4 linked regions of the Elephas maximus indicus genome follow. The protein of the gene in region 4 interacts with the protein of the main gene of each other region in a pairwise test. Links are inferred from orthologs where the notes say so. Each region holds a gene or a part of one and is shown on either strand. Other genes may lie near its edges.

Region 1 (8,061 bases), on a different chromosome or scaffold from region 4:
TCCTACTATTACTGTGGAGCTGCCTATCTCACTTTTCAATGCTGTTGGAGTTTATGTATCTTGAAGCCCTGTCATTAGGTGCCTATTTAATATGGTTATACCCTCCTGGTTTATTGTCCCTTTAATCATTATATAGTGTCCTTCTTTATCCTTTGTAGCGTATTTAACTTTAAAGTCTATTTTGTCAGAAATTAGTCACTCCTGGTCTTTTTTGATTGTTGTTTGCTTGATTTTTTTTTCATCCTTTGAGTTTTAGTTTGTTTGTGTCTTTAAGTCTAAGGTGTGTCTCTTGTAGGCAGCATATAGACGGATTGTGTTTTTTATCCATTCTGCAACTCTCCATCTCTTTATTGGTACATTTAGTTCATTTACATTCAACTAATTATGGATAGGTATGAGTTTAGTTCTGTCATTTTGATGTCTTTTTGTGTGTGTTGTTGACAGCTTCTTTTTTCACTTTTTTTGTGCCGAGTAGTTTTTCTTTATATATTGTCTTTTCCCCCTTTTCTTTGTTGTTGATTTTTTTTTTTTTTTTTGCTGAGTCTTTATGTTTTTCTTGTATTTTATTTTGATGTGTAAGATTGTTAGTGTCCTTTGTGGTTACCTTAATATTTACGCCTATTTTTCCAAGTTTAAACCTAACTTTTATTTCTTTATATCACCTTGACCTCCTCTCCATAGGAAAGATCTATGACTACATTTCTTTGTCCCTCTTTATTGATTTAATGTTTTCCATAATGACATCGCTGTTTCCCTGCTTTGAGCATTTTTTTATCTTGATATATTTTTGTGATTTCCCTGTCTGGGTTGATATCTAGTTGTTCTGTCCTGTGTTCTAGTCTTGGGTTGATATTATTGTCTAACCAGAGAATTCCCTTTAGTGTTGTAGTTTTGGTTTGGTTTTCACAAATTCCCTAAATTTCTGTTTATCTGGAAATGTCCTAATTTTGTCTTTTATCTGACAGTTTTACTGGATAGATATATGATTCTTGGCAAGCATTTTTTTCCTCCAGTGCTTTATGTAAGTCGTCCCATTGCCTTCTTGCCTACATGGTTTCTACCGAGTAGTCCAAGCTTATTTTTACTGACTCTCCTTTGTAGGTGACTTTTCGTTTATCCTGAGCTGCTCTTAAAATTTTCCCTTTATCTTTGGTTTTGGGAAGTTTGATTATAATACGTTTTGTTGACTTTCTTTTGAGGTCTACCTTACGTGGCGTTCTACGAACATCTTGGATAGATACTTGTTTCTCTCTTATTATACCAGGGAAGTTTTCTGCCAACGAATCTTCAACAATTCGCTCCGTATTTTCTGTTCTCCCTCCCTTTCTGGTACTCCAATCTCTCCTAGGTTATTTCTCTTGATAGACTCCCACATGGCAAAGTGGTTTCAAACATCAAAAAACTGCCTCTACCACACAGCTGGAACAGCTGAAGTCAGATCTCAAGCCCGTATACCGTTAAGAGTCTGCCATCAATGGCCTCAGCTTCTGAAATGGGCCCACACAGATCCATGCAGGGGTGAAAGGTATTCAAAGTCTGCAGACTGTTTGTGCCGGGACAGGAGCCGCTTCTGTCCTGAGCTCCCCAGCTTAGGGGAGCTGGCAGATTATCTTTTCCCCCAATTGTTAATTTATTCCTTCTCCAAGGCCAGGAGAATGGCTTAGGATGTGCAGCAGGACCTATCTCAGGCCCAGGGAAATTGACAGCCACTGAAGCCTGCTTGGGGGTCAGGGACATGGTAAAATCGACATAAGTACTTACATTTTGCCGTGAGCGCTGTTCTCCTCCGATTCTGGAGGGGTGAGTAGAGTGTGCGGCTCATTGTTTCTCCGTGAGGAAACCGCATCCTGAACGCTACCGCCAGCCCCGCTGCCGTCACGCCAGGGGATTGTGCCTGAGGGGCGCTGGTTCCTGCGGAGTCAGGTCCGGAAACTCCTCGTGGCTTCTGAACTATCTCTCCCTCCCCTTGCCACTCAGTCTGATTTCCTAGCCTTGCCTTTGATGTTCAGGGCTCCTAGCTTGTTATATATATATAATTGTTTCACTTGTTTTTTCAGGTCTTTGTTGTAAGAGGGATCACCAGAAGCATCTGACTATGCCGCCATCTTGGCCCCGCCTCCTGTAATAGTGGTGCAGCAGTTAAGCACTTGGCTGCTGAAAGGCTGGTGCTTCGAACCTACCCAGCTACCCAATTACTCCATGGGAGAAAGGCCTGGAGATCTGCTACCATAAAGATTACAGACTAGAAAACCCTATGGGGCAGTTCTTCTCTTTCACAAGGGGTCACTGTGAGTTGAAATCAGTCTGATGACACATAACAAGAACATTCTCATAGCTCAGTGAAACTGTTTTGATTTCAGGGGATGCTACTTTCCCATCTGCTCTGGGAAATAATCATTAGGTAAATTTTCCTCTCGTCATCATTACCACCCCTTGGGAAAGAGACATTCTATCCCCACTCCCCAGAGTGGACTGTTGTAGCTGGAATCTCTGGGGAGCCAAGAGGTCTGAAAGCCAGTCCAGGGCCCTTCCTGCTGGCTGTACAGTGGGCTGGGGGCTTGTTGTTAGCTTCTGGGTCCATCTCACACTACCTGGAGAGACCTACTCCCAAGCCTGGCTGGGGTTTGAACAAGCATCCCCATGAGCTCCACAGGCAAAAGGAGAGCTTTAGACTACAGGGTCGGGGGGAATGTTCAAGCTCTCAGAATAGCTCAGCTTTTGAACAATGTGTGGTTCATTTGATTCGTTCATTCAGTATACATGCCTAAAGCACCTATTATGTGCCAGGCTCCAGTTTACATAAGACTGGTGGTTAACACACTGAGAGAATTCCAAGTTGTTCAAGATGGTGGGAGAGTAGGGTGAGGTGGGAGGTGAATGGGAGCCAAGCTCCAGCGTGTCCTAGAGGCCTTACTTGGAATTTAGAGCAGGAAGTCTGACACATGAATGCCAGTCCTGGTGCATGCCAGATGAAATATCCAAGGTAGGCTCGATCAGAAACAGCAGCCCCAGACTTGCCAAGGATTGGATGCAGACGAACATGGCGATGAAATGCTGCAGGCACAGATCCTTAGGCTCCTGGCCAACACCATAGCTGGCCATGCTCAATGGAGTAACATGTGACCAGGCCTTTGTTGGAAGCTCAGGGCTCCTTTGCTTTCTAAGCATGGGAAAGCTGGAGCTCTGGGCCAAGCACAGGTTAAGAAAAATATTGAGAAAAAAGAGAAACTACATAAAGATGCCTAGCCCCAAACCTTTCCCCACCTGTACCATGGCCCTCAAATTCCTCCAGGGATCCCTAGCCACAAAAATACTAGAAAAAGCTGGCTCAGAAAATTCTTGAAAATTTACCAATTGGCTCTCACAAGCCACCATGAGCTGGGTCCAGCCCAGAAAACCTTTATAACTCACAGGATGCTGGGGAGAGAGAAGAGACCATTTGAGGGACATAGTTCTATGGTTGTGTCCCCTCAGCCTTCCCACAGAGTGAGCTTTATATGTGCCACAATGACAGGTTCTGCTGATTGGTTCAATCCGCAACTATTCCTGACTCCTCACTTGGCTCTCCTGCAATGTAGACATGATATTCATTCATTTATTCAATAATTAGCTATCTCTGCTAGTCCTGGAGGCAGAATGGTGAAAATTACAGAGCTCCTACTTCCTCAAAAACTCACAGTAAGGAAAGAAAATGCCTAGTTATAACAGGGCTGACAAAAGCACTGCATTAGAGGTGCAGGGGAAACACTGCAAGGTCAGGGATGGGGAACCACTGACCATGCAGTGCCAGGGGGGCTGAGGAATGCCCCACTGAGGAAGTGACATTAATTCTGGGTTTTGATGGCTGAATTGGGGCTCACCAAGCCAGACGGTGAAAATGTATAGGCAAAGTCGTAGCAGAAAAGAAGGGTTGGGCATGCTCTAGCCATAAGGAGAAGGTCAAGGGACAGGAGCCCAGCAAGACATAGAAGCCCCCTAATGCTAACATCCTATTCACTCTAAGCCAGACCTGGCCCAATTGTGAAATCCAGCTCCGCTAGATGGTAGGGAAGAAAAAGGGGTGAGGGTCAGAGTCAGGGCTGAAGAGTTGCACAGCTCCTTCTACTGAAGAACACCAACTCCTTGACATCTGTCATGGATTGAATTGTGGTATTTCTGTTATAGCAGCACCAGATGACTACGACAACAGCCAATAACGCTCATGTCCTCATGCTACCCTATAGATAACTTCCCTGGTAACTTTTCCTTGTGTGCAGACTTCCAGGGGACCCTCAGAAAGCTGATTATGAAGTTAAACTTATCTGCAGCAAACACCAAGAGGGTTACCAAGCCAAGCTCAGGGCATAGAAACCAGCATGGGCTGACTGCCCTGGCCACAGAGCCTGTAGCCCTGATATCCTGCTAGACTCGCAGACTCTGGAGAAGGAGACCCCTGGGGACATCATGGGCATGGTAAGCAGCAGCTTCTTGGAAGCTGGACTGAGGGGCCCCTTTTTGCCCCAGATTCATAAACCAGCCAATGGACAGAAGGATTATGTGATCACTATGACAACAGAGGAGTCCTTGGGTGGCACAAACAGTTAAGTACGTCATTACTAGCTGAAGGGTTGGCAGTTCAAACCCACGGAGTCATCTTGGAAGATAGGTCTGCAGATCTGCTTCTGAAAGGTCACAGCCCTGAAAACTCTGCAGTAATTCCCCTCTGCGCACACAGGGTCGTCATGGGTCAGAATTGACTCAATGGCAACTAACAACAAGTGACAATAGTACAGTTCTTGTGCGCAGCAAAAGGTTAACGCACTCCGCTGCTAACTGAAAGGTTGGAGGTTCAAGTTCAACCCAGAGGCACCTCAGAAGAAAGGCCTGGTGATCTACTTCTGAAAAATAAGCCATTGAAAACCCTACGGAGCACAGTTCTACTGACACAGTTGGGGTCGCCAGGAGTCAGAATCGACTCCAAAGCAGCTGGTAATGGTATGACATTAAAGCAGACATCAGATTGCTTTGTTCTGTTTGATGCTACCCAGAATCTTTCCTAATTAAACCCAGTTTCAGTTGGGGAAATTACACGTTTGTTCCCACTACTGGGACTCTCCAAAGCAACTCAGTCCCTGTCTTTTTCAAGCTTAGTTCTCCAGTCCTCCCATTGACACCATCATCTAGATTTTCCTCTCCTGGCCCTCCGGTATCATTTCTAATTAATTCTTCTTGGCTTAAGCTGGCAAGAGCCGGCCTTCGTTGTTTGCATCCACAGAACGCTAACTGCTATAGATGCAATCAACACATGGCGGCTCTAAGCTCTCTTCCATTTCCACCTCCTGGTCTTCAATGCGGAAGAACAGCCGCAGCCTGCCAGGCAACCCCCTTGGACCTGCTGCCCTGGATGGCCTGCCAGAACTCCTGCTGTACCTGCCGGCCCCCTGCAGCAGTTTGCTTATTAACAGAGCCCACACTGCTTTCTTGTGCCACCAGTTCTGACTTGGTGGACAGTGTAATGAGTCTGCACCCTAATTCGGGGCAGCTTTCTTTCCTTGCTGGTAGGCACACTAATGTTTCTCCCCAATCCTCAAGCATTAGGACTCTTTAGGCACCTGGGCACAGAAGCTCTGGCAGGCATGGAGTGATAAAAGCTGGAGCAACAAACACCCTGACAGGTAGGTGGGGGCTGAGCCTAACCCCTGCCCCTGCTCCCACATCTGGGCTGCAGCCACCTCTTCACCAAGCCCTGCCCCCAAAGTGAGTCTCCTAACTCCACTTGCCAAAAGTATTCGTTCTTGACTAGCCTTGCACATTAATCCACTTGCTTCTCCTCTGCTTGCCTGTTAAATATTTGTTAGCTGGGTGCTTGTGCCACATAGGTGGAACTGACTTGAGGTGCGCGTAGTGTGGAAGAGAAGACCTAAAAAATCACAGGTGAGGGAAGTGCACGAGTGACAGGGCACTGAGGAGGAGAAGAAAAGAGGAGCAGGTGGGTGAAGAGGAGGAAAAGTAGAAGAAAGAGGAGGAAGATGAGGGAAGAGGAAGACTAGGAGGAAAGCAGCGGGAGGACGAAGAGGAGGAAACATATGCCAGCTCTACCCTTCAGGCCCCTTCCATGGGACCCTTGGGCCTCTGTTTCCTTTGTCATACCATACTGTGTGCTGCCAGGAAGATCAGAGTCACTCCTAACATCTTTGCCACACAATTCTTCAAAGGGGCTGTCACCGGTATCAGAGGTAACAATGTTAACCTATGCTTCCTGCAGAGGTCAAGGCAGCAACAAAGGTCACTGAGTTCCTCGGAGCAAACCATTTGTCCTCAGTCTACCATCTGTCAAACAGGGGTTGGGTTAAATCACTGCTGGTGTCCTGAGCTACCGGTGTATGATTTCACTGGGAAGGATTCAACTCTGCCCCTGCTGTCCTTCTGGCCTCACTGGCCTCCTGTGTCACCCTCTCCAGATTACCCCATGGGCTGCCATCAAAGCAGCTCAGGCAGCCTTTACCCACCACTGCTGCACAGGCCACTGACACCAGAACTGTCCAGGGGCACCAGAGCCAGAGATGAGGTAGCCCTCTTCTCTGAACTAAAAACTGGGGCATGTGGTCTACAGTAGGATGGAATGCTTACTATCAGGGTGTTTCAAAATATTAAAATAAAGTCTCTGTTCACTGAACACTCCCTGCATGCCAGATGCTTGATACACCTAATTTCATTTAATTGTCACAACTACATGAAGTAAGTTGCCTGTCTCAACCCAAGTGCATTTATTTGATGTTGATCCTGGGAAACTCAACTTCATGTGCACCCTCAACGGGCAAACAGTACTGCATTTATCTCTAACCCATCAAATGCCATCTTGCCAAACTCACCATAGCACTCTGGTTTTCTGAGACCATTATGGGTCTAGATCGTGCCAACTTCAGATACCCCATTCAGCTTCATAAAATGTTGTAATCTAGTCAATACTCCATAAAGGTTGTCATCCAAATCATAATAAGAATAATAATGAGAAGGAGGAAAAGGAGAACACAAAGGTATTGAACTGGCCAGGGACCTCTGGCACATCACCAGGTCTGAGGGTCATCACTATCATTCATCAGCACTACTTGAGGTAAGGCAAGTGCCTAGTGAGCCCCTGCCAGCTCCTCTCCTAAGGATGTACAGACCTTGTGTAAGGACGTACAGACCTTCCCTTTATCTAACATCTTGCCCAGTGTCAACCTCAGACTTCAGCCTGTGAGCTTCTTTCTTTGAAAATAAGGCCCCATCCATCTCCAAGCTTCATTCCCCTCTCCTGAGCTCTCAGCTGACACTGCAGATATGTGACCTCAATTTTGGGGCCACTCCATGCCCTGGCAAGTGACTTCTTGGGTCAGGAAAGGTGATCACATACACAGCAGCTCTGCTCCTCCTTTCCTACGTGGACCCACCAGGCTGTTTTCATCTGGAGGACAGTTCTCTGCCAGATGTTCCACAGGCCACAGACCTGCTCCTTCCTTCTTCTCACTACAAAGGCACCAGCTGGCCTAAGCAATGGATGGGACTATGCATTCTTTGCCCTCCTCGCTTTGAATATAGCATTAAAGATCTTGTTCTCCTCTACTCTCCTCAATAGTCTCAGTTCACTACATCAGCCTGAGACCAGAAGAACTAGATGGTGCCTGGCTACAACCAATGACTGCCCTGACAGGGAACACGACAGAGAATCTCTGATGGAGCAGGAGAACAGTGGGATGCAGACTTCAAATTCTTGTAAAAAGGCCAGACTTAATGGCCTGACTGAGACTAGACGGACCCCAGAGTTCATGGTCCCCGCGCTTTCTGTTAGCCCAAGACAGGAACCATTCCCAAAGACAACTCTTCAGACAGGGATTGGATTGAACTATAGGATAGAAAATGATACTGGTGAGGAGTGAGCTTTTCGGATCAAGTAGACACCTGAGACTACGTGGGCAGCTCCTGTCTGGAGGGGAGATGAGAAGGCAGAGGGGGACAGAAGCTGGCTGAATGGACATGGAGAATACAGGGTGGAGAGAAGGAGTGTGCTGTCTCATTAGGGGGAGAGCAACTAGGAGTATA
Region 2 (7,278 bases), on a different chromosome or scaffold from region 4:
TAACAATCCCAAGACTGATGACAGTCTGATGTATGTATTTCTGCAGATAAACTTTAAAAAAGGATCATGCCTTTATTCTTGCTGGGACATGTAGTCGGTGACAGATGGTACTCAGCTTCCTTGAAAGCTGAACAGGATCCACCCTGCAGGAAAGAAACACTCAGGTGGAGACACACCGGAGCTCAGACGACTTGGACTCAGATCCAGCTCCCCGGGCAGTTCCTGGCACTCACAGGCCTCTTCCGGGAGCAGCAGATGCTACTCCCACCTTGTGCTTCAACTTTATACTGGACAAAGGGTCATTATTTCCCTTCTGGTTTCCAGCTGTGGTGGCTCCATTACAAAGGCACCCAAACCTCAAAGCTGTAAATGTAGAGCCTCACTTGCTTCTCACGGTTCACGGACTTCGTCTCTGCAGACCAAGCTGATCCGCACGCAGAATGAGGACCCTCCTTTCTTTTTTTCCAACAGGAAAACCAGTTTTTTCCAACACCTTTTATTGAATAAATTATCCATTTACCATATGCTAAAACCCCATGCGTAACACATCCATTTTGGCCTTTGATTCTGCTCCCTGACCCATCAGTTACCCCCTATGCTGACCCTTTCGGTAGTTTTCAGCGAAGGGGTGGCATTAAAATGTCTCCAGCTGTAAAACTCTGGAGTCTTAAGGTGGTCAGGGTAGGGACTCACCATGAATCATCGTACACACACAAGGCCCGCCATGTGGGAGGCGGCTGTGATGAAAAGGACAGTTAGTGTCTGTTCAGGGCAATGGCAGACCTTGCACACACCTCCTGGGGATGGGCGAAGCATCCACTTTCGGGGCTGCCAGCCTCCTCAAAAGGCACCCTCGGTTTCAGGTAGATCACACAGGCCCCAGGAGCCCCTGGATGAGGCCTGCGCCAACAAGCGCGCCTGGCCCCCAGGCTCTGGGAGGTAGTGTGTCTGAGATTGCCTGCTGCAGGGATTCCATGCAGAGGCCATCAAGACCTGCTCTACTGGGCAGGGACCCCAGAAGGAGCCCAGAGGCAGCAAAACAGCTGGGGCGGCAGGCAGGGGTGCCCCACGGTAAAACAGCTGCAAGCCACTACCCAGGACAGGAGACGGTGGATGGATGGCCAGGGGCCCGTAGAGGGGTCCAGAGAAGGGGACACTGAGCTGTGAGTCCTGCAACTGGCGTTTGTGTTTCATTCTACGATTCTGAAACCAAGTTTTTATCTGTGGGAAACAAACCAGGCAGGGGTGAGAACAGACCGCCCCCGTTCACCCAGCCTCCCCTCCCCCCCCCCATGGCCTACTCACCTGCACCTCAGTCAGGTGCATCTCTTTGGCCAGCTTCTTCCGCTCCTGGGGGCCCAGGTACTGGTGAAGCTTGAAGGCGCTCTCCAGGGTGCTGATCTGAGCTGTAGTGAAGGCCGTACGCACCCGGGGAGCCCGCAAAGGGTCTGGCTCCTTGTTCAGCCCTGGAACGGGAAGATGGGTGAGAGTCTACCCACCTGGGACATGCTCCCCGCTATGTGAAAGTTGCCCTGAGCTTCGGGGTTACTTAGGCAGCAGACGCAGCGGCCAAAGGTGGATGGGCAGCCCCTGTGTCCCTGAAGCAGGGGCAGCTCCAGTTTCTCTCCTTACTCCACCATTCCAATATCCTGCTCAGTCTCCCAGCTCAAGGGTGGAGGGGGTCCAGAGCAGGACATGTGTATTGGAGGAAGGAGACAAAGGTTAGAGTGGTTTGGGCTGAGAGGGGCAGTCCTGGTGCAGATTCCACCAGCCAGTGCCCCAACCTAGAGCCACCCTCACTCACATCCCTCCAGAAAGCAATTTCTTTTCCCTGCAGCCAATTCACCAGATGAGGACAGATGGGGCAGAGCAAGAGGGACTTTCCGGGGAGGGTCCACTACGTACAAAAGCCTGGGGCACCCAGAGAGCCAAGGGGAGGTCAACCTTTCTCATCGACTTGTTCACATTTGGATTTAGTCGGGAGCCAAGGCAGACACCCATTAACCTGGACCTGCTGTGGGTCTTTGCAATAAATATTTCACTTCACCCAAGTATGAAATTATTCCAAACGAATCACTCAAACTTTAAAAAAAAATTAAAAATCATAGATACCAATCTCATTGTTGACCAAGTAGGACTTTAAACCTAAAAACAATGGATTAAATTACAATGGACTAGAAAACAAACAGCAAAAAATCTTGTCAGCACATGACAAAGGGTTAGATAAGGATTATGGAGCCGCTGGCCAGGCCCCCAGGCGAGACTCCCAGGCACAGAAATGCAAAGGTGGCCTCTTGGTCTGCAGCCCAGCCCCAGCGGCCACTTCAATCACACCCATGGAGCATTCTTAAAATGCCAAGATTCCAGGTCTGCTGAGAACGGGCTCAAGTTTGGAGCCAAGTGAAGACCCCCTTCATTTTGGGGGTCAACGATGACCTCTCTGCATTGGCCAGTCTCACAGCTTTAGAAGCAACGGTCTTTCCCAGTGACCCGGGTCTCAAGGGCTCAGTGTAGAGCTTGAGGACCACATGCACAAAGACACCAGAGCCACCGTGCGTGACAGGCATAGCTGGGAGACAAGCTGCCCTCTGGGTGTGGGGTGGGGTAATTTCACGAGGACAAGTTACTGGAGTGCCCTCGGGCAGCAGGCCTGGGCTGGACGTAGCTGGGAACTGGGAAGATGCTGTGGCTGGCAGAGGGCCGAGGCAGGGCAGGGCTTGCAGGGCTGGTACCATAGAGGTGCCTGCAGGTGGCTTCCCTCTGAGGGGAAGCGCTCGCTCGCTCACTTGCTCGCTCACTCACTCACTCACAAGGGGACATCATCACTGCCCTGTAAAAACCACCGAGTGGACAGGGTGTGTTCGTGTGTTCCTTGCCTTGCAAGAACCTCCCCAACGCCCACTCCGATCTGGGAAGGACTTTCCCCTTCAAGACCTACCAGCCACAGGTGTCCCTCGCACACGCAGATCTGGGGTCTTAGCCCCATCGATGGCCATGTTCTGAGGGGGCTCCCCTCTGCTGGGCACCCAGACGGGGGCAGTTAAGCCCCTCCAAGAGACCTCGCTGGGCCTGGACGTGCATATTGGCCCCGAGTGGCTGCTCTGGGCTAGCCAGTCCACGGAGAAGAAACTGGAGTGTGGTTTGTGGCCCTGGTGCAGGTCGGAGGAGGGAGGCATGGCCGGTCAGGCGGAGGATTTGCCGAGGACTGGATAAGTGACGGGGCTACTCAGAGGATCCCCCGAAGGCCAGGGGACCACGCAGAACACTCACAGAGGGCCAGACAAAGAAGATCCCCCAGGGCCGGGGGGCCACGCAGAGGATGAGAGTGGAGCTGGACCGGTGAGCCGGGCTGGGCACAGGATCCACTGTGGGCAGATGGGGCCGGGGGGCCACACAGAAAATGGAAGAGGATTGGACACGTTGGCCAGGCCCAGCACAGGATCTGCCTGGGGCTGAGGAGGGCCGGGCTGAGTTTATAAACGAGGGTGGGGGGGTGGTGGGGGGGAGAAGGGTCGGTTTGCTTAGGAGGCTGCAAATCCCCCAGATAAGGAGTACCTAATTGCCTTCATTGAGAAGCACAAAGGAGGCCATTCACACCTCCCTCGGCTCCAAGATGTCTGGGGGAGGGCGGGGCTGCTGCCCAGCCCGCTGAGGGTTTGGGGACCTGTTACATCCTTTCATCTGCCCTAGCCGTGAGGAAGGGGAGGAGTGGCTGCCTCCTATAGGGCCGCCCAGCCCCCGCTTGCCCCGAGCGGCGCTAAGCGGTGGGGGCAGGAAGTTCTGCTTCTCCAGCCCCCCTCCCCAGCTGGGACTGCAGGGCGGCTGGGGGGAGATGACAGAGGTTTCAGTTTGGAAGAGGTGCCCCGCTGACCGAGGAGAAGGCAAGCACGGCTCTGTGTCCGCTCGCCGGCTGTCTGGCTGGGGAGGGAAGGACCCCTGTGGCTCCGGCTGGCCCTCCCTCGGCGCCGACTCGCGCCGCCCTAGCCCGGGCCATAGGCCTGGCCCCACCGCAGGGGCTAACTCGGTGCTAGTGGCGCCGCCTTCGGATCTGCCACGCCTGCGCAGCAGGGAGGGCGGGTTACTGGCCCCGGTGCGGACGGCTCCCCGGGGTAAGGGGGCGCCGGGCCACCGCGCTCTGCCGCGGTCCCGACCTCTGCTTTAGCCACGCGGCCGCTCCCCAGGTAGCAGGCCGCCCCGCGTGTCCCCGCCTTGCTGTGCTAGCCGACACTCCTTGTGGGAGACAGGCCACGTAGGCCTCCCCCATCCCAGCCCGCCCCCGGCGACTGCTTCACTCCGAACTCTCCTGCGTCCACGTTCCGGGCGCCGCGCTGGCCTGGGGAAAGCGGACGGCAAAATCGCCGCCGCCCGAGAGAGGCGACAACGCAGCCAGCGGGGTCCAGCGCGGTGGGCGCCCATTGCCTCGCTCTCCCCGCTATTCCCCCATCACTAGCTTCTCTCTGCTCCTTCCTGCCGGCTTCCCGCCCCCAACCTGTGCCGGGGGTGGGGGTGGGGGTTGCCTTCCCTGGACCTCTATCCCGTGACCCCTGCTGGATCGCATCTGTTGCTCCCCGACGATGGCCACGGCGAGGCAATGCCTCGGGAGCCCGCCGGGAGCGGCCCTGGGTGCACCTCAGGGCGCACGGAGTCCTGGGGCGCTCGTACTGCTGCTCCTCCCCCCTCCCCCCACCAGCGGACGTAAGCAGTGTGTCCTCCACACCCACTCACCTGGTGGATAGCAAAGGCCCTCGGTACTCCCCTGGCCATACACCCTCAACCTCCACCCCCGGAGCCTGTCGGGCTACAGGGGAGAGGGAAAAAAACGAGGTCTGGGAGCCCGCTGGTCGCCCTGGTCAGGCCCCCCATTTGGGCCTTCCTCAGGGGCCTTGGCCGCCCAGCCTTTGGTCACTGCTTCTGCAGGGGTGCGCTGGGGAAGGCTTGGACCTGCCTCTGGGAGGGAGGTCTGAGAGGCTCTGAGGGTAGCAGCCCCCCTCCCCGCAATAATTGCTCAATGTGCACTGAACAGGCTAGAGAAGCACAGGTAAAAAGGAACACTTGTTGAACATTTTTGCCATGTTCAAAAGCACTTATTACATGAAAACAGCACATACCACACTTTCTGAAACTCGGTCAACGTTCATTTCTCTAAGGGCCAGCGTTTCTTGGCCCCTTGGCCCCCGTGCCTGTAGAGCCAGCTCTACCAAGTGATGCCCGTGAGGGGGGGTGTGGGGTTCTGGTGCTCCTCTGACACTGCTCCTGCTTCCACCTTCCTACCTGTGCACCTGAGGTCCTAGCCCCTCCTTGCTCTCTGGCAAACACCTTCATTTGCCTAAACTGGCCACCTGCCCTGAACAGAGGGAAGAAATTTGCTCAAGGGTCCCACCTCAGTCTGCAGGTACCCTCAGGTCTACTCAGCGGGGTCTGGGGGCCTCTCCTGACTGAGCTCCCCACAATCTCTTACCATCAGGGTGGTCTCCTGTCACCCCATCAGCACTCCTCATCACAGTCCCCCCTTGCCTCCACACATACCCTGGGTGTTCCCTTCTCCCCACGAGCTGATGGCCAAGGCCTGTTTGCTTACTTGGCCTCCCAGCAGTGTCGTGGACTGACCGGGCCCTCCCCTGCCCAGCTCCTGGGCCCCCTTGCACCAGTGTTCTACTGCTCTAGGCCCCTTTGCCCACCATTCCTCCAAATGATTAAATGTAGGCTGGAAAATTAAAAAAACAAACATAGGCTGGAGCCTTTGCTCCACAGACGCAGACCTCCTTGCCCGGATAGCAGCTCAGACCTGGTGGCTTCAGCCCAGACCCATCTCCTGAACCCCACACCTGCACACTGGTGTGGGCTCCACAGAGCCTGCCGGAGCCATGTTTCAGCAGGGTGACGGCTGAGCCCAGCCTCCCACTCGCAATGTGTGATGATGCCTGCACTGGGGAGGGGTGAGCCCTGGGCTTCAGGCCTCCCTAACTAATCCCCGCTCTACTCCCCCTGGCTCCACAGACACCTTCTCAAATTGTGTTCATGATTTGGAAGCAACTCCCACCCCTAATATACAACACTTCTAAAGTCAGACTTCCCACTCAAACCTTTTCTTCCCAGGGGCCTGTCCTCCATCCATCCAGGTGCCCCCTGGACACCTCACTCTACAACCCCTTCTCCACATTGACTGGCTGTACCACTGCCCACCCTGCCCTTCTCACTTCAGCCCACAGCTGTGTGCCCCCATCATCACTGGGGAGGGGGTGGGTCTTGCTTCTCCCTCCTGCTGCAGGTCAGGTTCTCTCCTTCACGCTCCCCTCCACACCCCCACTTCCCCTCATGGCCTTCCTCCCCTTCCCTTAGGCTCCACTCCTTGTTCCAGGGCTCCCTGACTCCTTTGTCCTCCTCCTGAAATGACACAATCTGAGTGTGTAGGGGAGCAACGTATGGACAACCCCAACCCGGCTGGGCTGAGACTCTGTGAAGAGATGACCCGGTGGGTTGAAGGGTCTCAAATTCTGAAAGGGTGAGTGGGATGAGGCGGAGCCCACGCAGCCCACCTGTGCGGGAAGCTTCGGGCTGGACCTTAGAGTGGATCCTGGGGTGACCTGTCTACCTCACTGGGTTTCCTGTCTGCTGAGTGAGGTCCCAGGCTCAGGCCTTCTGTTCTGGGGGGAAGCATCAGGAACCCGTCCCACCTCAGCCCCATTAGGCCCCACTTCTGCCCATCCTCTGAGGCTGCAAGGATGCAGGCTTGGGGACACCTCCCTCCCCCTTCACTGGGGGCTGGCAGGGAGGCTGGGCCCCGGGGACCAAACCTAAGGGGTCTTGGGGGAGGTGGGAATGGTCTGGGAAGCTAGGAGATGCTAGAGGACACAACCCAACCAGCTGACGGGGCCACAGGAGAGGAGTGAGGCAGGAGGGTCCTGTCCAGCCTGCCTGAGGTTAGAATCCACTTTCCAGGTAAACAGGACACACTTCAAATACTGCCCCACAGTACACAGCAAGCCCCCCATGAACTCCCTTGGGATTTGGGAACATTTAAAACACCATCTATTGGTGGGACACTATGTAGGAGACATCACAGTGAGAGGAATGGATATAAAAGAGGCTACACTTGGGAGATAAACAAGCCAAGTCCCTGGGTGGTGCAAACGGGCAACGTGCTTGGCCGTCAACTGGAAGGCTGAAGTTTGAGTCCACCCAGAGGTGCCTTGCAAGAAAGCCCTGGTTACTTCCAAAAAATCAGCCACTGAAAACCCTATAGAGCAGTTCTACTCTGACACACACGGGGCTGCCAGG
Region 3 (7,557 bases), on a different chromosome or scaffold from region 4:
CTCTGAAACTCAGCTGCCTTATCTGTAGAAAAGGATTTCAGTTAAAAATGTTGTTGTTGTTGGGTACCATGAGTCGATTCTGACTCACAGCGACCCCATGTGACAGAGTAGAACGATCCCATACGGTTTTCTTGGCTGTAATCTTTACAGAAGTAATCTTTTTCAGAGGAGGCAGGGTTCAAAGGCCAACTCTTCAGTTAGCAGCCAAGTGCTTAACCCTTGCACCACCAGGGATCCTGATTTAAAAATGGGGGGAGGATAATTGAAATAAGAACAGCACCAATTTGATAATAATTGAAACTCAGTGACAGATATGTGGACATTCACTATACTATTCTATTTTTATGTGTTTGAAAATTTACATAATGAAAAATATAAAAATGGAGAGTTTAATAATAGTACCTACCTCACAATAATTGTGGATGTAAAGCAATTATCATCATTATATTAGGAATTCACAAAACCTAATTATTACCACCAAAAAATCAAACCCACTGCCGTTGAGTCAACTCCAACTCATATTTTTAAATATCCCACTTAATCAACCCAAAAAAACCCTATGAAATGCATAATCATCATCTTGATTTGGCAGATGAGGAAACCAAGATTTCGTGAACTTAAGAAGTCAGGAATCCTGCAGTCACCCCTGGGCTGCAATGTTATCTGAAACCAGAGTTATCTGACTCCACCTTCACCCTGCCTTTATTTCAGTAATAGCTCTTTTTGTTCTACTTGGCTGAGATCTTTACGATTATGATATCATTCATTCATCTAAGCCAGTGGTTTCCTAACTCATTCCTCAGCAGCAGAACCCCTTTTTCCAAGGCAGCCTTACTCAGAACACCAGTAAGGAAAACAGATAAAAGCAGAACAGCTCTGTCGAAGTGAGGTCTGGGACCCAGAAATCAGGCACTTGGCTCCAAGGTGGCCCTGAAGCACTGTAGGGTCTATGGAACATACTTTGAAAACCCCAGATTGAAGCCAACAACAGTAACAACCCAAATCGTAAGAGTCACATAGTAAAAACAGCCTTCATTTGTATAATGCATCTTTTGTTTTCCTGTAGCCCATCACATTTGATACTCATTATCACCTCTGAGGTGGACAAGGCAAGGCACATCATCGTCAATTTGCAGATGAGAAAATCAAAGCCAAATGAAGTTAAGCAACTGGCCAAAAGTGCACCAGTTCCATTGTCGGCCAACTACAGACTGGAACTAGAGTCTGTCTCCATTAACTCCATGTGACCTGGCAGAAAGGGTGCCATCTACTGGAAATTGCTACTGACTCTCGGCCATCAGGAGCTGAGCAGAGCCCCATAAGCCCCTCTGCCAAGGCCCTGTCCCTGAGCAGATGGTTATGGCAGGGGCAAGGGGCTCAGTATCACTGGAGGACCAATCCCATCAGAGCCATGTCGTGTTGAGCACATGGCTGGGGAGACAGTAATAGCCACAGTGTCCTTCACCCTCATCTGCCACAAGTAGGTAAATGCAGCAGGCAGGGCAGATCTGTGTAGCAGTTACACTTTGCCTTTCTTCTAGCTCTTGCTTGGAAATCCCTGAATCCAGAGGCAGTGATAATTGCCTGAATGGCTCCCCAACTCCACAGCATCTCTGAACCGAGCCGGAGCATGTGTTGGGATCGGTAGCACTTAATTATCACTTAGTCTTTATTAGCACTTAATTATTAACACATAATCCATCTGTAAAATGGGGACACTAATATCTGCCTCATAGAGACTCTGGGAGGATTAGTTAACGTTTGCAGTCCACTTTGAAGATGCAAAACATTGAAGAAGTGCTCAACGGTGGCATAAATAACCACACTGGATTTATGTTCTTTTTCTAATGAGGTCCCTTCTTCCTCTCTGCTCCTCCCTCTCCTTTTGATTTTCCATCCCCAACAATATCTGCCCAACTTTGCTCTGTTAGAGAAACTCTGAGCTCCATATTTCCCAGTCATAGGATTCCCTATCTAGGAAATGGGCTATTTACAGCCATCTTTCCACACTTTAATTTTCTATTATGTCCTCTGAATATGTCAATGCCTTCCCAGTAAATATTTTGATGTGAGTTTTTGCAGCGGCTTCTGTGGAGGCTGAATGGGACAGCTGCTCCCTGTATTAGGGAATTCCAGATGTGATTTAAAATTACCAGACTCATCTGTGTGAATGCCCAGCCTTTGAGGGATGGGAAGAAGGAAGGATCTTCTGGTTGACTCTGGGGAAAGCCATGGGCTTCAAAAGAGATAGCCACCTAACCCTCGGCCTTGGCTAGGATGGCTTTTCAAGGACCTCAGACACAAATCTGGTTTAGGTCTGCCTTTAGAATGAAAACATATTCTCTTAGTGGACTGGTGAAGAGGCAGCCTGGAATACAGCCCTGGCCTGATCCTTCATCCACAGCCATGATCAGCTTTTCTCTCTAAAGCATGGACGAAGACCATGGTTGGGGAGGAGAAGTATATAGCTTTAGGATGTAACCTGACTTAACAATGGGCCAGAACATTCCCCCAGCAGGTCAGGTCTCATCTCCTCCCTCTTCCCTTGGTACCATCCAAGCAGGGAGACACTTACTGTTCTTGGAAGCCAAGTCCATTGTTTCTCGAAGTCCCAGGCGTGGGGGCAGAGAGCTGCTCCGTCCAGGTCCTGGGCTGCATGGCCTCAGGCAGGCCCTGAACCCTCTTCCAGATTTCATGGCAGGTCTTGTCTAGGCTGTCTTGGGGTGTGTCATGGTGGATCCAGATGTATCTGGGGAATGGGCCCAGGGCGGAGGGAGGCTTGGCCACCAGGGCCGAGGACGAAGGGAGTCCATTCCCACTGGCCATGCTCCTCCTCTCTCTCTGGAAGCCCCTTTGTCCACCCAGAGCTCGAAGACTGGGGGACCATCCACCACTACCCCTCATTCACCAGGAAGGGAGATGAGGATGGGGCCTGGCAGAGGCAGGTCAGTTCTGTCTGGTTGTTGCTCCAGCAAGGTGACTATGTTCAGAGGCCCTCGATTTGGGTGTGAGTGGTGGTGAGTGAAGAGCTTTCTTTTGGGGAGGGGGAGCTTTGTGTGATTTGTTTTTATTTGCTCTTTCCTGACTTTTGCCCCCCTCCCCCTCTCTCTTAGAAGAAAATACTTAAAAGTCAACAAAAACCAGTAGCTTAGTAACCGTGGAATCCCCGGCAGCTCAGGAAGCAGGCGCCTGGGCGGGCAGAATGACATCTGGGAACAGCTGGAGGGGGAAGGCTGGCTCTCCCCCACAGTCCCTGACACTCCCCCCTTGCGACACACCCCTGGCACCTTGCGGCTGCTGGGGCTCAGCCCATTCTCTCCCACTAAGCCAGCGGATGACCTGTTAAGAGCCTGGCACCGTGTTAGGCACGGTGGGGGCAGGAGGCCACCATTAGAGTCTCAGCTCCGCCTTCCCAGGGACCCCCGCGCAGCCTGAGGGCCAACGGCCCCTGCCTTCCCTCCCCCCGCTGTGTCCCCTCTTGCTCGCCCCACTAGCCCCCGCCTGTACCCTTCTCCAGGGGTTGTTCTGCCGCCCTCTAGAAAGAAAACTTCAGCGGGTAAGTCTGGGGCGCGCTCTGCGGCCTTCCGCAGCCCGCCCCCAGCACCTCCAGCAGACACCTGCCACGTCCTCCGAACCGGGACGCGGGGATGGGCACCAGGAAGGGTCCCTACGCCTTAAAAGGGTGCTGTTTCCGTCGGGAAGGCGGGGCGAGGCGGCTTTGGCCTGTTTGCGTGCCAGTGGCTCTCACGACCTTGCCATCGAGCGGTGGAATTCTTTTTGTGGGTTTCAAATGCAACGGCTGGGTGCGCGGGGCGCCCCAGGTTCGGTGCCCAAGGCCCTCTGCCGCCGCGGGCTGGGGGCGGGTGAGGCGGCGCCCCGGTGGGGAAGCTTTCCCCCATTAGAAGTTCACCAGAGGAGACAGGCTGCGGCCTCGGTCAGCTACCAAACACAAACGTCGCGCCAGCCAGGGGGCCTGCCCCTTTGTCAGCCAGATTTTACCGCTAACTGCCGTTTCAGTCAGGCGCTTGCCGTGTGCCAAGCTCTGAGCTTTCTGCGTTCTCATACTTGATCCTTACAAGCTCCCGCAGTTACTATCGTTTATTATCGGTCTGCATATACAGAAACGGAGGCTCAATCACAAAGGGATATGTCTATGACCAGCTAAGAAATGGGGAGCTGGGATTCAAACTTGGGCACTCTAGGCCTGAGCCACTGAGATAGACAGCTCTTTCCTGTGCTTCATTGAACTCAGAACTGAATCAGCAAACTCGGACAGGGGCTCTCTAGCCTCAGGACTCAGTGGTTGTTCCTCCAGAGTTTCCCCAGAGAAGGAGGAGCAAGAGGTGAAGAAAGGAGAATGGATGCAAATAGGCCAGCTGGCAGCCTAAGGAGGTAGGGCTGGGTTGAATCCTGAACTGTCACTTCCAAGCCCTGTGTCCCTGAACAGCTTTCTTGACTTCTCTCATCCTCATTCATTCATCCATTTCCCAAATATTGGCTGAACGCTTCCTCCATGCCTTGCTGGGAATTGAGGAAACATGAGAATAAACAAAAAGCATGGTCCCTGCTCTTATGCAGCCTATAATCTAATGGAGGGAGATAGACCACAGACTAGCCAAGCAAGTAAATAAACATTAATTATAGATTCCTGGTGATTCAGTGGTTAAGTGTTGGGCTGCTAAGGGGAAAGGTCTGTGGTTTGAACCCATGAGCTACTCTAGGAGAGAGATGTGGCAGTCTGCTTTTGTAAAGATTACAACCTTGGAAACCCTATGGGGCAGTTCTACTCTGTCCTATAGTGTCGCTCTGACTTGAATGCGACTTGATGGCAATGGGGTACAGATCCCTGCATGGCACAAAGGGTTCAAAGCTTGGCTACTGGGTGGCACAGGCAGTTTGCACTTAACCGCTCACCTAAGAGTTGGAGGTTCCAACCCGCTCAGTGGCTCCATGGAAGACAGGCTTGGAGATCTGCTTTCATAAAGATTATAGCCAAGAAAACTCCATGAAGGAATTCTACTTTCTAACACATGGGGTCCCCATGAATTCGGGGCTGACTATAGCAGCTAACAACAACAACAACAACTAACCCTAAGACAATTCGAATGCATCCGGAGGTGCTTCTAAAGGCCTGATACTTCTGAAATGCAGTGTTGTTCCACTTTGAAACACATGTGGTCACCGAAAGTTGGAATCTACTTGAAGGCAACTGGTTTGGTTTATTTATTTATTTATGTTTAAGAGATGAAATAAGGGGCACGTAGTGGTTAAAAAAAAAATTTTTTTTTTTTTTTTTTTTTTTTTTAGTGGTTAAGTGCTACAGCTGCTAACCAAAGGGTCGGCAGTTCAAATCCGCCAGGTGCTCCTTGGAAGCTCTATGGGGCAGTTCTACTCTGTCCTGTGGGGTCGCTATGAGTCGGAATCGACTCGACGGCACTGGGTTTGGTTTTTGGTTTGGTGATGGAAACCAACAAGTGAGGCATGAGGAGGGGAAGGGGAGAGGGAGAGAAAGAGGGAAAAGGGCAACATTAGATGATGGTCCAGGCAGGCTTCTCTGAGAAAACAGAAGCATGAGAGTCCTTTTTCTGTTAAAATGGTGTTCATTATCATGGGAATAAAATTTCTGGCACACAGTAGGTACTCAATAAATATGTGTTGAATGAATTAATGGTATACTGTATGTAACGTGCCTGGCATACAGTAGGTGCCCAATACACGACCGTGCTCTTTACAGAGGAGCTGAGTTCCTAGAAATGTTGACTCTAAATTTTGAAATCCGAGTTTCATTCCCCTTTGATTTTCATTATAAAGTTGAAGATGTGTTCCTTTGGGGAAAATTCTGAGGACCTAGACTGAATAAAATTATAGTTAAGAATGTAGAAAACCTTTTAAGATAGTGTATTTAAAGGAAAAGTGATCATTTCTGATGAAATATTAATAGTTCTGAAAATGTCACTCAGTGTTTGTGCTGCTTGGCATTTGGTTGGCTAACACCCTATGCTTAGAGCAGAACGCCAACAATCCTGCGCTGCCCAGACCACAGATTCTGGAAAGTTAGCCAGCTTACTCACTCCTCCTGTTCTCTCTCCTCTTCAGCAGGAGACTGGGCAACAGGGTCTAAATCAGAAAGGATTAGGAAAAAAAAAAAAATACAGTAGGGACTGTGAATGAAGGTTTGCTTCTTGGAATATACAGCTGAGGTTTCTAGAAGATTCTGCAAAGACCTCAAGTAATGTACTTAGAGAAAGTATACGCTGCATTTTCCAATATGATAGCCACTAGCCACATATCTGTTTTAAATTTAATTAAATATATTTAAATAGAGTTAAAAATTCACTTCCTCAGTGGCACAGGCCACATTTCAAGTACTCAATAGCCATGTGTGGCTAGAGACTATACCATAGTGAACAGTGCAGAAGATATTTCCACTATTGCAAAAACAGATTCTTAAGCCGGACTGCCTGAGTTCAAATTCTGAGTTCAAATTTTCTGGCAATGTCAACTTAGACAAGTTACCTAACCTTTATGTGCCTTCATTTTCTCATCTGTAAAATAGGGATGATAATAAAGAACACCCACCTCATAGAATTGTTGTACCTGTGTAGATGTTCTATTATCAAGTAATTACTAAACACATGGAAAGTCCCAGGAACAACACCTAGCCCATAAAAGTGTTGTAGTTTGCTTGCTGATTACATTGAAATGCGTATCTCCAAATCACAGGCCTTCATGTTATGTGTGAGGAGGGAGAACTTCACTTGTACTTTTAGGCGTACTGGGGAAATTGCTCTGTGTTGGAGGAATGGAATCAAAGCATCACCTGAGCCTCCCAAGGATCTGTTCCTTTTGAGTATTCATTTTCTGCAGCTTCTGTTAACAAACTACCACAGACTTGGTGGCATAAAACAAGAGGAATTTATTTTCTCACAGTTTTGGAGGCCAGAAGTCCAAAATCGAGGTGTTGGCAGGGCCATGTTCCCTTCAGAAGCTCTATAGAAGAATCCTTTCTTGCCTGTTCCAGCTTCTGGTGGCTCCAGGCATTCCTGGGTTGTGGCTGCGTAAGCCCAATCTCTGCCTTCATCCCTTCTGTGTCCCAAATCTCCCTCTGCTTTTCTTTTGTAAGGACACTTGATTTAGACCCCATGAAGATGATTCTGGATGATCTTGTCTCAAGATCCTTAACTTAATCACATCTACAAAGACCTTTTTTTTTTTTTTTCCTCCTAAATAAGGCCACATTCACAGATTTTAGGGATTAGGATGTGGGCATATCTTTTTCAGCAGATGGCACCTTTCAGTTCACTGTGAACACCTACTGTGTGTGGGTCAAGACTGTGCAAGGTACAGGAGTTAGAGATGAGTAAGACCTCTACTCTAGACAAAGTCACAGTCTAATTAGGAAGGAAAAACATTCCATAAGTGCCTGATTGTAAAAACGGGCTAGTAGTAGTAATAGTAACACCATCACCTATCTAAATTCAGGGGAGACAATGTGAATCACCATCAGCAAAAAGCTGATCCCTGTGAGGTAGAAGTCAGACATACCTCCTATCTCCA
Region 4 (8,051 bases):
ATCAGTGTTTCGGCATCGTTGCGGCTTCACGGTAAGCATGCAACACTTTCAAACAGGGATAAAATATACTGAATGTTAAAAGGAGCCCACTTTAAAAAAAAATAGAAAATATATATATAAATAAACCTCTGATGAATCTGTGAAATAAACTATTTGCTCTTTAGGATTGGACTCACTTTTCCATGTCAGTTCAACAGCCATGAGAAACTACAACAAAACACATTTTTCCTCTCTTGTCGCTGTGCGTCATATATACATTTTATATGTGTGTGTTCTGTTTACTAGAGTCCTTTGCCAAGGCTTTTAAATGTGTTTGAGAAAGAACTGCTGATCCAGTGGGTGGGCAGGGAGAGAGTCCTGTGTGTGGTGGTTTTGTATCATGTCAAGACATTAATGGAACTCACCAAATACCATTTATTTTACTTGTGGCTTTCACGGTTAGGGGAGAAAAGGGGGTTAGGAGTCTTCGAAAAACAAACAAAACCCAAAACTGGAAACTGGAGCAAAATTTCCTGGATTATTCAGGGCCACTATTTTCTTTTCCTGAATTCCTAACACAGACCCGGTCTTCACGGTGTGTGTTTTATACACCCCATCTCTTGTACAACCGGAGTTCTGAAATCTTCCTGAGGCTCCCCACCTATTTTTAAAATAACAAAAGTTTTGATAAACATAGTGACACTTTCTTAGAGCCACATGTCATTCCTACCTGAAGAGGAACACAGACAGGGCAACTGGGCAGGTAGGAGGCGGTCACTGTCCCGAGCTTGCCTGTGGTTGTATTGGTGTGCAATTTCACACACATTAATGGTAAGGCTCTCAGGAACAAGGCAGCCTAACCTCAGTCCTGGCAGCAGTTGAGACAGGTCCAGCAGAAAAATGTGACTTTTCTCTACTTAATTTCATTAAGTGGGTCATGTTTTTGGAACACTCAAACTTCTTTTGCTGCCTACCAAAAGCAAAAAATAATCTTTGGTGTGCCTGATCAACTTTTTCCCAATTACAAGTTTTCACAACTGGATGATGAGAGAAAGATGGTTTCGTAGTATCTGTTTTTACCCCTAGAAGTAAAGAGATTGCCCATGTAAGTGAAACAAATATCTAACGAAAGCAATGATTGTCTTGGTGTGTTAAGCGGATTAAACACATTGCATTCCTTAAAAATACAAACTTGCCATCATTTTTTAAATTTTACTTAAGTGATAGGGAAATAAATAGCAAAGCAACCAGTAAAAAAAAAAAAAAAAAAGTGGAACTTGCGATTCAAATTTCCAGCTCTTTGAAAAAGTAAAGAAATATCAGTAGTATTACTTCGCTTGTAATAAAACATGCGAAGAAAACTTTTCAAAATAATACTTCATCATAAAATAGATAATTTCCTCAAGTGAAAAGGCAATTTTCATCTCACCACAATTCACCTAGGTTGCACTATCATACAAACGTTAAAGAGGAGAATCCTACATTTATTTTCCATCATTTTACATTGTCTTAGTTCTCTATCTTCCACGTTGAAGTGGTTCCCATATAACAGACAGACAATATCCAGCTGGCTTGTGTGTATTAATGAATTCCCCCACGTTTGGTTTCACTATCTGAATTTGTTTGCACACACAGTATTACAATAATAATCTCAGTTTCTGAATCACTCTGAATTGGCTTACCACTGTATTCACCTTATACATTAGGATGCAAGACCTAACAATGGTATCTAGGTCAGATCTAGACACATACTTTCTAGCATTTGCACAAACTCTTAAAATGTTTAAGAATTCAGGCGATTGAGATCTTAAAAAGTAAGAGAAAAATACTATTCTTTGCATCCTAGATTCTGTACCTGCCTGAACGGAGCTATTTAATAGGGTACCACAAATATCCTATATACAAAATCCTGAAAAGTTTGAGTCCCTCCCTACATTTACTGAGCTTTGTTGTTTCCACCAAAGGAACGCTTCGCAGCCGCAAAGTTCTACCGTTACTACCGACAAATCACTTAAAATTTATGTTCAGAAATAGCCTCAAGGGTCATTTGGTGAACTGTTAGGTTTTTAACCCTTTTATTCGTCTTCCCACATCTCCATCGTCCCTAAATTTGCAAAAGCTAACTGCCCAGGTTCGGGGTCTTTGACTCATCAAAGAATGAGGCTAATGAGTTATCTATTCAACCAAAATGCCTCCGCTTGAAAGATTTTTCACCAAGAACTTTTAACACCGAAAGGGAGGGGGGCGGGGGACAGAAGGTATCTTTTAACGAGAACTTGTCCCCGCCTTTCTTACAACACCCACACACTATAACTTCCAATCTCAAACGCAGAACTAAACCCTGACCCTGCGGGTCCTAATAATCTGAGGTCACCCAGGAGTCACCTCTCAATTCCTCTTTTAAAATCCCAAGCAAACAAAGCTGATCATTATACTTAGAGAAGTCTCCGAGAAGTCCTCAAAGTTACGCAATTTTAGGCACGCAGACGCGCGTGGACACACAAAAACACACTCCAAAGATACACCCTCCCGGGGCCAAATTGTGGGGTTGTGTCTTGGGGCAAGGACAATATTTCAAACCTCCAGGGGCACCCAGCCCGTCGCCCCGGGACAAGCGCCCGCGCCCCGCCGGCTTCTCCCTCCCGGCACTTTGGAGAAAGCCAGCGGCTCGCGCCCCCGGTCGCACCCACCACCGCTCCGGGCCACTCGGTACCTCTTCCTCCTGAAGGTTGGCCTCGCTCGGGGTGTTCTCCTTCTCGGCTTTGCTGCCGTTGTTCATCTTCCCGGTCCTTTCTTCCCGGGCGGGGCTGGGGCGCGGGGCTGGGCGAGGGCGCGCTCGCCCACTCTTCCCTTCCCGGGGCACCGGGGCTCCCTCGGGTGGGGCGCCGCCGGCTGCGGAGGCTGGAGCTGGGGCAGCGGCTGCGCGGGCTCCCGCGGCGCGGCGAGGCTGCGGCGGCCGGCGACTCAGGAAGTGCGAGGGAGAGACCGGGCAGGGCGAGGGCAAGGGCGGACTGAGAAGGGAACGGAGACAATCGGGACCCGGGAGTGAGACCTGGAGGGCGGGCCGGCGGGCGCGAGGGAAGGAAGGAGGAAAGCCTGGGGCTGGAGTTGGGGCCGGGGCCGCGCTGCCGAGCCTGCGGGCGCTGGAGCGGGGAGCGCGAGGGGCGCCCGAGAGGAGCAGCTGGTGCGGGCGCCGGGCGCGGGCTCGGGGCGGCTGGGGCGCAGGGGCCGGAGAGCCGCCGAGTGCGCGCTGCTGGCTGGCTCTGGGCGGACGCGATCGGAGCAGCCTCCTTTCTCTCGCCTTCCTCCCTCCCCTCTGCCCTCCTCTCCCCTCCTCCTCCCTCCGCCCTCCCAGGACGTGGGCTGCGGGCTTCAGCCCTGAGGGACGGGACCGGGACGACGGAGCCCCCCGCGGGAGGAGGGGCTGCACCGAGGGCGGCTGCCGGGCGGCCGGATGGCGCGCGCCGGGGAGGGGCGGCGTGCGGCGGGCGGGAGCGGCCGACCCCAGCCCGCGACTTCGCGGTAGGTCCGAGGGCGAAGGCACCGGAGGGGGGGAAGGTCAGCGCCGCGGGCTCACGGGCTCCGCTGCGCCCCACGGCCGAGCGGGGTCCGAGTTGCGAACTCGCGTGTCCGTGCGCGTGAGCTTGGAGAGGGGCTTCGGGGAAACAGGCCCTGCCAGTGCGGAGAGCGGGAACTGGGGTGTGCTACTTTAGCTTGCTGGCTTTCCGCGAGGGATTTGCACCCCTGTCCCTGAGTCTACCCTCTTTTACTACTCGTTTAGGCACAGTTCTTCCCTTCAGCCAGCAGTTTGAAATGACGGCCTGAAGGAACTGGAGAGACACCCTGGGGCAGCCTGCTCCCAACCGGCTTTTTAAAGCGCAGTTTCAAGCCCACCACGAACGTCCGGTCCACCGAAGCCTCTCCAGCCTCCTTGCACGGGCTGCTGCTCTCTGGGCTCCTCATAGCTCTTGTTCAGACCTCCCACAGCCCTTATCAGGCTCTTTGGAATTATTTGTTTACCTGGCTGTTTTCCTCACTCTTCCCGGAGTTTCTTCCAAGAAGACAAAGACCGTGCCCTGTTTATCTTTTTAATCCCACGGCTATTTAAATACACTACCTGGTATATAGTAGGCACTTAATAAATATTTGTTGGCCAAGTGAACATTCCTCAGTCTAAGCAGAACTTGAGGTCAGTAGAGCTGATCTTCAGATGGCTCGAAGCATGCAGAAGAAAAAAAAAAACCCTTCACTGTACACCAACCTTGGAAGGACTGCATGGCTTCTGTTTCAGTCTCCGTAAAGTAGAAATAGCTATGCTTATCTCCCAGGGTCATGCGAATTGAAGAAGATTATAGATTGATAGAGAGGCCCGTGGGTGGCACAAAAGGTTAGCGCTGGGCTACTAGCCATCTGTGGTTGGAACCTACCCAGAGGCTCCAAGGAAGACTGGCCTGGCAATCTGCTTCCAAAAGGTCACACCCTTGAAAACCCTGTAGAGCAGTTGTTCTCTGACACACATGGAGTCGCCATGAATCAGAACCAACAGTAACAAGATAGATTGATAAAAATGTAGCACCCAACAGCCATTCTTGCTCAGCCGAAGTTCACAATATATGGAAGCCAACATGATTATTAAGAAAAGTTCCATTTCTGCTGGGCCTTGGAGGGATTCTCCAATACTGGCTCCTTTAAGCTTTCCAACTTGACTGCTGCAAACATAAGTTTAAAACTCCACATCGGTACGTTCCCCCCGCTTGCCACTGCTAGGAATTCTCTTTCACATGATGCTGTTCTTTCACAGCAGAAATCACAATTTCTAATCACTTATTTTTTGTTTATTTGCTTTTGTAACGTTATCTCTTTCTCCCCCACTGGACATTCTGGACCCTAGTATACTGGTTTACGTGCTGTTGCAAGTGTGGTAGGGCTTGCAGATGAGGCCTCTGCCTTTGGGAAGTTTAAAGTGGTGTTGTGGAGACAAGATACCCAAAACAACGCCACAGCAACGTAATTGCAGAATTCTGGTTTAAATTGTCAAAAGCAGTTTAATTGTCTAAATGTAGAAAATACTTGCTTCAAGCATACCATGAAGAGAAAAGCAGTAGTGATACTTGGACTTACATATTGGGTTTTACTTGGTGATCTGAAGATTTTGATAAGGATAAGGTCTTCTGTAAGAAAAAAAATGTTTTTCTTTAATTGCTGTCGTAATATCATTTCTCTATGGTAACAAAAGTGAATCCTGGATGAAACTAAACCAAGAGTTTATTGAAACTACAATTAAAGAAGCTGAGAAGGACAAGGGTTATTTTGTTCCTAAAACTTGGTAACTCACTTGTCCTTGTTTTGATTATTCATTTGTCTTAATTGGGAGCTCTTTCCACTGCCAGCTTCTCCCTCAGTTATAAAGGTTAGAGGTGACCACAAGGGGGCAATGTCTTCCTGAGCAATGATTGTGTGGTGGTCTTGGGCCCCAGAGATGGTCAATAATGGCAGAACTTTGTCCTCCTTGGCTATTCCTGCCTGTTACTGAGGACACTCCACAGAAGGGGATTGTCTTGTTGGAGCCTGGCAAACGCTCAAGAAAAGTGACAGTTGATGTAGTCATTGATGGTTCCAGTCAGACCCCACTGATGAGTAGGTGGAATACGTTGTGTGAGTTCAGGATGCTGGGAAAACCTCACGTCCTCCTACACAGGGAAATGTAGCTTCATTCTCAGAGTAGAACCTGATTCTTTTGTCTTTCAGCCAAGCCAGGACTTTGTCTACTGTTAAAAGTCAAAAACCTCCGGGATAAAAAACAAGAATAGGTTTCATGAGAGGATCTTTGTCTAGATTGTTCAATGTTGCATTCCCAATATCTAGACAGTGCCAAACACGTTGTCCAAAAACAACCAAGCCTGTTGCCGTAGAGTCGATTCCAACTCATAGAGATCCTATAGGACGGAGTAGAACTGCTCCATAGGGTTTACAAGGTTGTAATCTCTACATCTCCACATTTTCTCTCGCAGGGCTTCTGGTGGGTTCGAACTGCCAACCTTTTGCTTAGCAGCTGAGAGCTTAACCGTAGCAACACCAGGACTCCTGAACACATAGTAAGCACTCAATAGTTAATTTTTAATGAATTAACACATTAAGTCATCAGTTATTGATTCTCTAGTCTGAATGAATTAGATCCTTCCAAGATCCGGCAGGAAGGACCAAATTAGTGGGGACATCTGAGATTGGAGAGCCCCCATAACGTCATGGCAGTGATTTCTACTCATTATTTTGTTCCAAGGGGCAGACTCTAGATAGAGACCTTGTACACAGTGGGGCACCTAACGAGATTTCAAGAAAGAAAAAATAAAATCACGGCACTATATTGATACATTCTGACACACACCTCAGTGTTGTATCCTCTCACCGTATTTATTCAGTCTGTATGCTGAGCAGATAATTCAAGAAGCCGGATTGTGTGAAGAAGAACGGGGCATCAGGATTGGAGGAAGACTAATTAACAACCTGCAATACACACAGATGATGCAACCTTGCTTGCTTAAAGTGAAGAGGACTTGAAGCACTTACTGATGAAGATCAAAGCCCACAGCCTTCAGTATGGATTACACCTCAACATAAAGAAAACAAGAATCCTCACAACTGGCCCAATGAGCAACATCATGATAAACGGAGAAAAGATTGAAGTTGTCAAGGATTTTGTTTTACTTGGATTCACCATCAACGCCCATGGAAGCAGCAGTCAAGAAATCAACAAGGTATTTCATTGGGCAAATCTGTTGTAAAAGACCTTTTAAAGTGTTAAAAAGCACAGATGTCCCTTTGAGATGCCACTAAGGTGTGCTTGACCCAAGCCATAGTATTTTCGATCTCATATGCTTGCAAAGTCTGGACAATAGAATGGCCCCGGACCGGACAGTGTTCCATTCTGTTGTACGTAGCGTCGCCATGAGTCGGAACCAACTCAATGGCACCTAACAACAACAACAATTGATACACCAGGTTACCCACTGCCATGGATTAGATCTTGACTCATAGCGACCCTAAAGGACAGGGTAGAACTGCCCATAGAGTTTCCAAGAGTGTAAATATTTAAGAAAGCAGACTGCCACATCTTTCTCCTGGGGTGTGGCTGGTGGTTTCAAACCACTGTCATTTTTATTAGCAGCCGAGCAATCCATTGCCCCACCGGGGTTCCTTCTGATACATCAGGTAGTTTGCAATCAAGCAGGGAGACCTAGAATATTACCGTCAATGATGAGAGTGAAATTGAAGATGTTTTCGGAAGAGCACGTACGGATGGAATTATATGCCAGGAAAAGAGGGATTCCGGTTTTTTATCCTTTCCATAAAGCATGGTTTAGACTTATTTAGAAGAATGATAGAGTAACGTATTACCAAACAAAACCCAATGAGAATCTGTAAACAGACTCTTGCTATTTATAAAACTTTGGGAGTGAGGGGAAAGAGTTTGACAGCGTGGAGGAAAATGTCAGGATATAAATGGTCTTTATGACCTGTTCACTACTTCAAAGAAGAAAAGTTTCAAACATGAGATCGCCTCAGTAGCAATAGTTTCCAGACACATAAATATAATTATAAGACAACGAAGGGATTTTATATCCTGGAAAAATTGGGCTAATGACCAAGTAACATCTGCTTCTTCCCCTGCCCACCACCCTACCGCACAGCTGTCTGGCCTACAAAGCGACATGCTAGATTGAAAGGGAAATACTGTACACACCTGTATTTTTTATTACTCATCTCTGTTTCTCTGGCAGTGTTCATTTGGAGGCTTGCTTTAAGAAATGCAAACCTGTAATTATGTCTTACGTGTTTGTCTCTGAGAATTGCAGACATTAAAGGTCTATTCCGAGGCTATTTGTGCGGCATGGGTTTTTGTACCTGTGTTAGCTCTGAGGTAGAAGGCTGCGTATCTACCACATGTGTTGTGATTGTTAACTTCTGTATCCTATGCTGTACCAAAAAGGTCCTGAGGCCAGAGGATGTGCTTTGCTGATTTTTGCCATCCTCACACCTCTCCCTCCCTCACACCACTCACCTCCAGGCCATCA

The links.
Region 1: the proteins of RBPMS (region 4) and ZNF488 interact in binary tests that used the Homo sapiens proteins (3 or more experiments, as listed by UniProt). The two-hybrid records come from large-scale screens. The link is inferred for Elephas maximus indicus from reciprocal best matches to the Homo sapiens genes RBPMS and ZNF488.
Region 2: the proteins of RBPMS (region 4) and VENTX interact in binary tests that used the Homo sapiens proteins (3 or more experiments, as listed by UniProt). The two-hybrid records come from large-scale screens. The link is inferred for Elephas maximus indicus from reciprocal best matches to the Homo sapiens genes RBPMS and VENTX.
Region 3: the proteins of RBPMS (region 4) and C3H1orf94 interact in binary tests that used the Homo sapiens proteins (3 or more experiments, as listed by UniProt). The two-hybrid records come from large-scale screens. The link is inferred for Elephas maximus indicus from reciprocal best matches to the Homo sapiens genes RBPMS and C1orf94.

Annotation. Positions count from the first base shown.
Region 1 is NC_064834.1:304,424-312,484, reverse strand, and holds the start of ZNF488 (zinc finger protein 488), read right to left. Parts: upstream 3,103-8,061; coding exon 2,915-3,102; intron 1,912-2,914; coding exon 1,762-1,911; intron 1-1,761. UniProt on the Homo sapiens protein: Transcriptional repressor. Plays a role in oligodendrocyte differentiation, together with OLIG2. Mediates Notch signaling-activated formation of oligodendrocyte precursors.
Region 2 is NC_064834.1:82,821,290-82,828,567, reverse strand, and holds VENTX (homeobox protein VENTX), read right to left. Parts: upstream 3,177-7,278; coding exon 2,939-3,176; intron 1,467-2,938; coding exon 1,306-1,466; intron 1,222-1,305; coding exon 841-1,221; downstream 1-840. UniProt on the Homo sapiens protein: May be involved in ventralization.
Region 3 is NC_064821.1:75,208,465-75,216,021, reverse strand, and holds the start of C3H1orf94 (uncharacterized protein C1orf94 homolog), read right to left. Parts: upstream 3,415-7,557; 5' UTR 2,905-3,414; coding exon 2,576-2,904; intron 1-2,575.
Region 4 is NC_064840.1:69,843,164-69,851,214, forward strand, and holds the start of RBPMS (RNA-binding protein with multiple splicing), read right to left. Parts: upstream 3,298-8,051; 5' UTR 2,759-3,297; coding exon 2,693-2,758; exon of another isoform or gene 2,367-2,692; intron 1-2,366.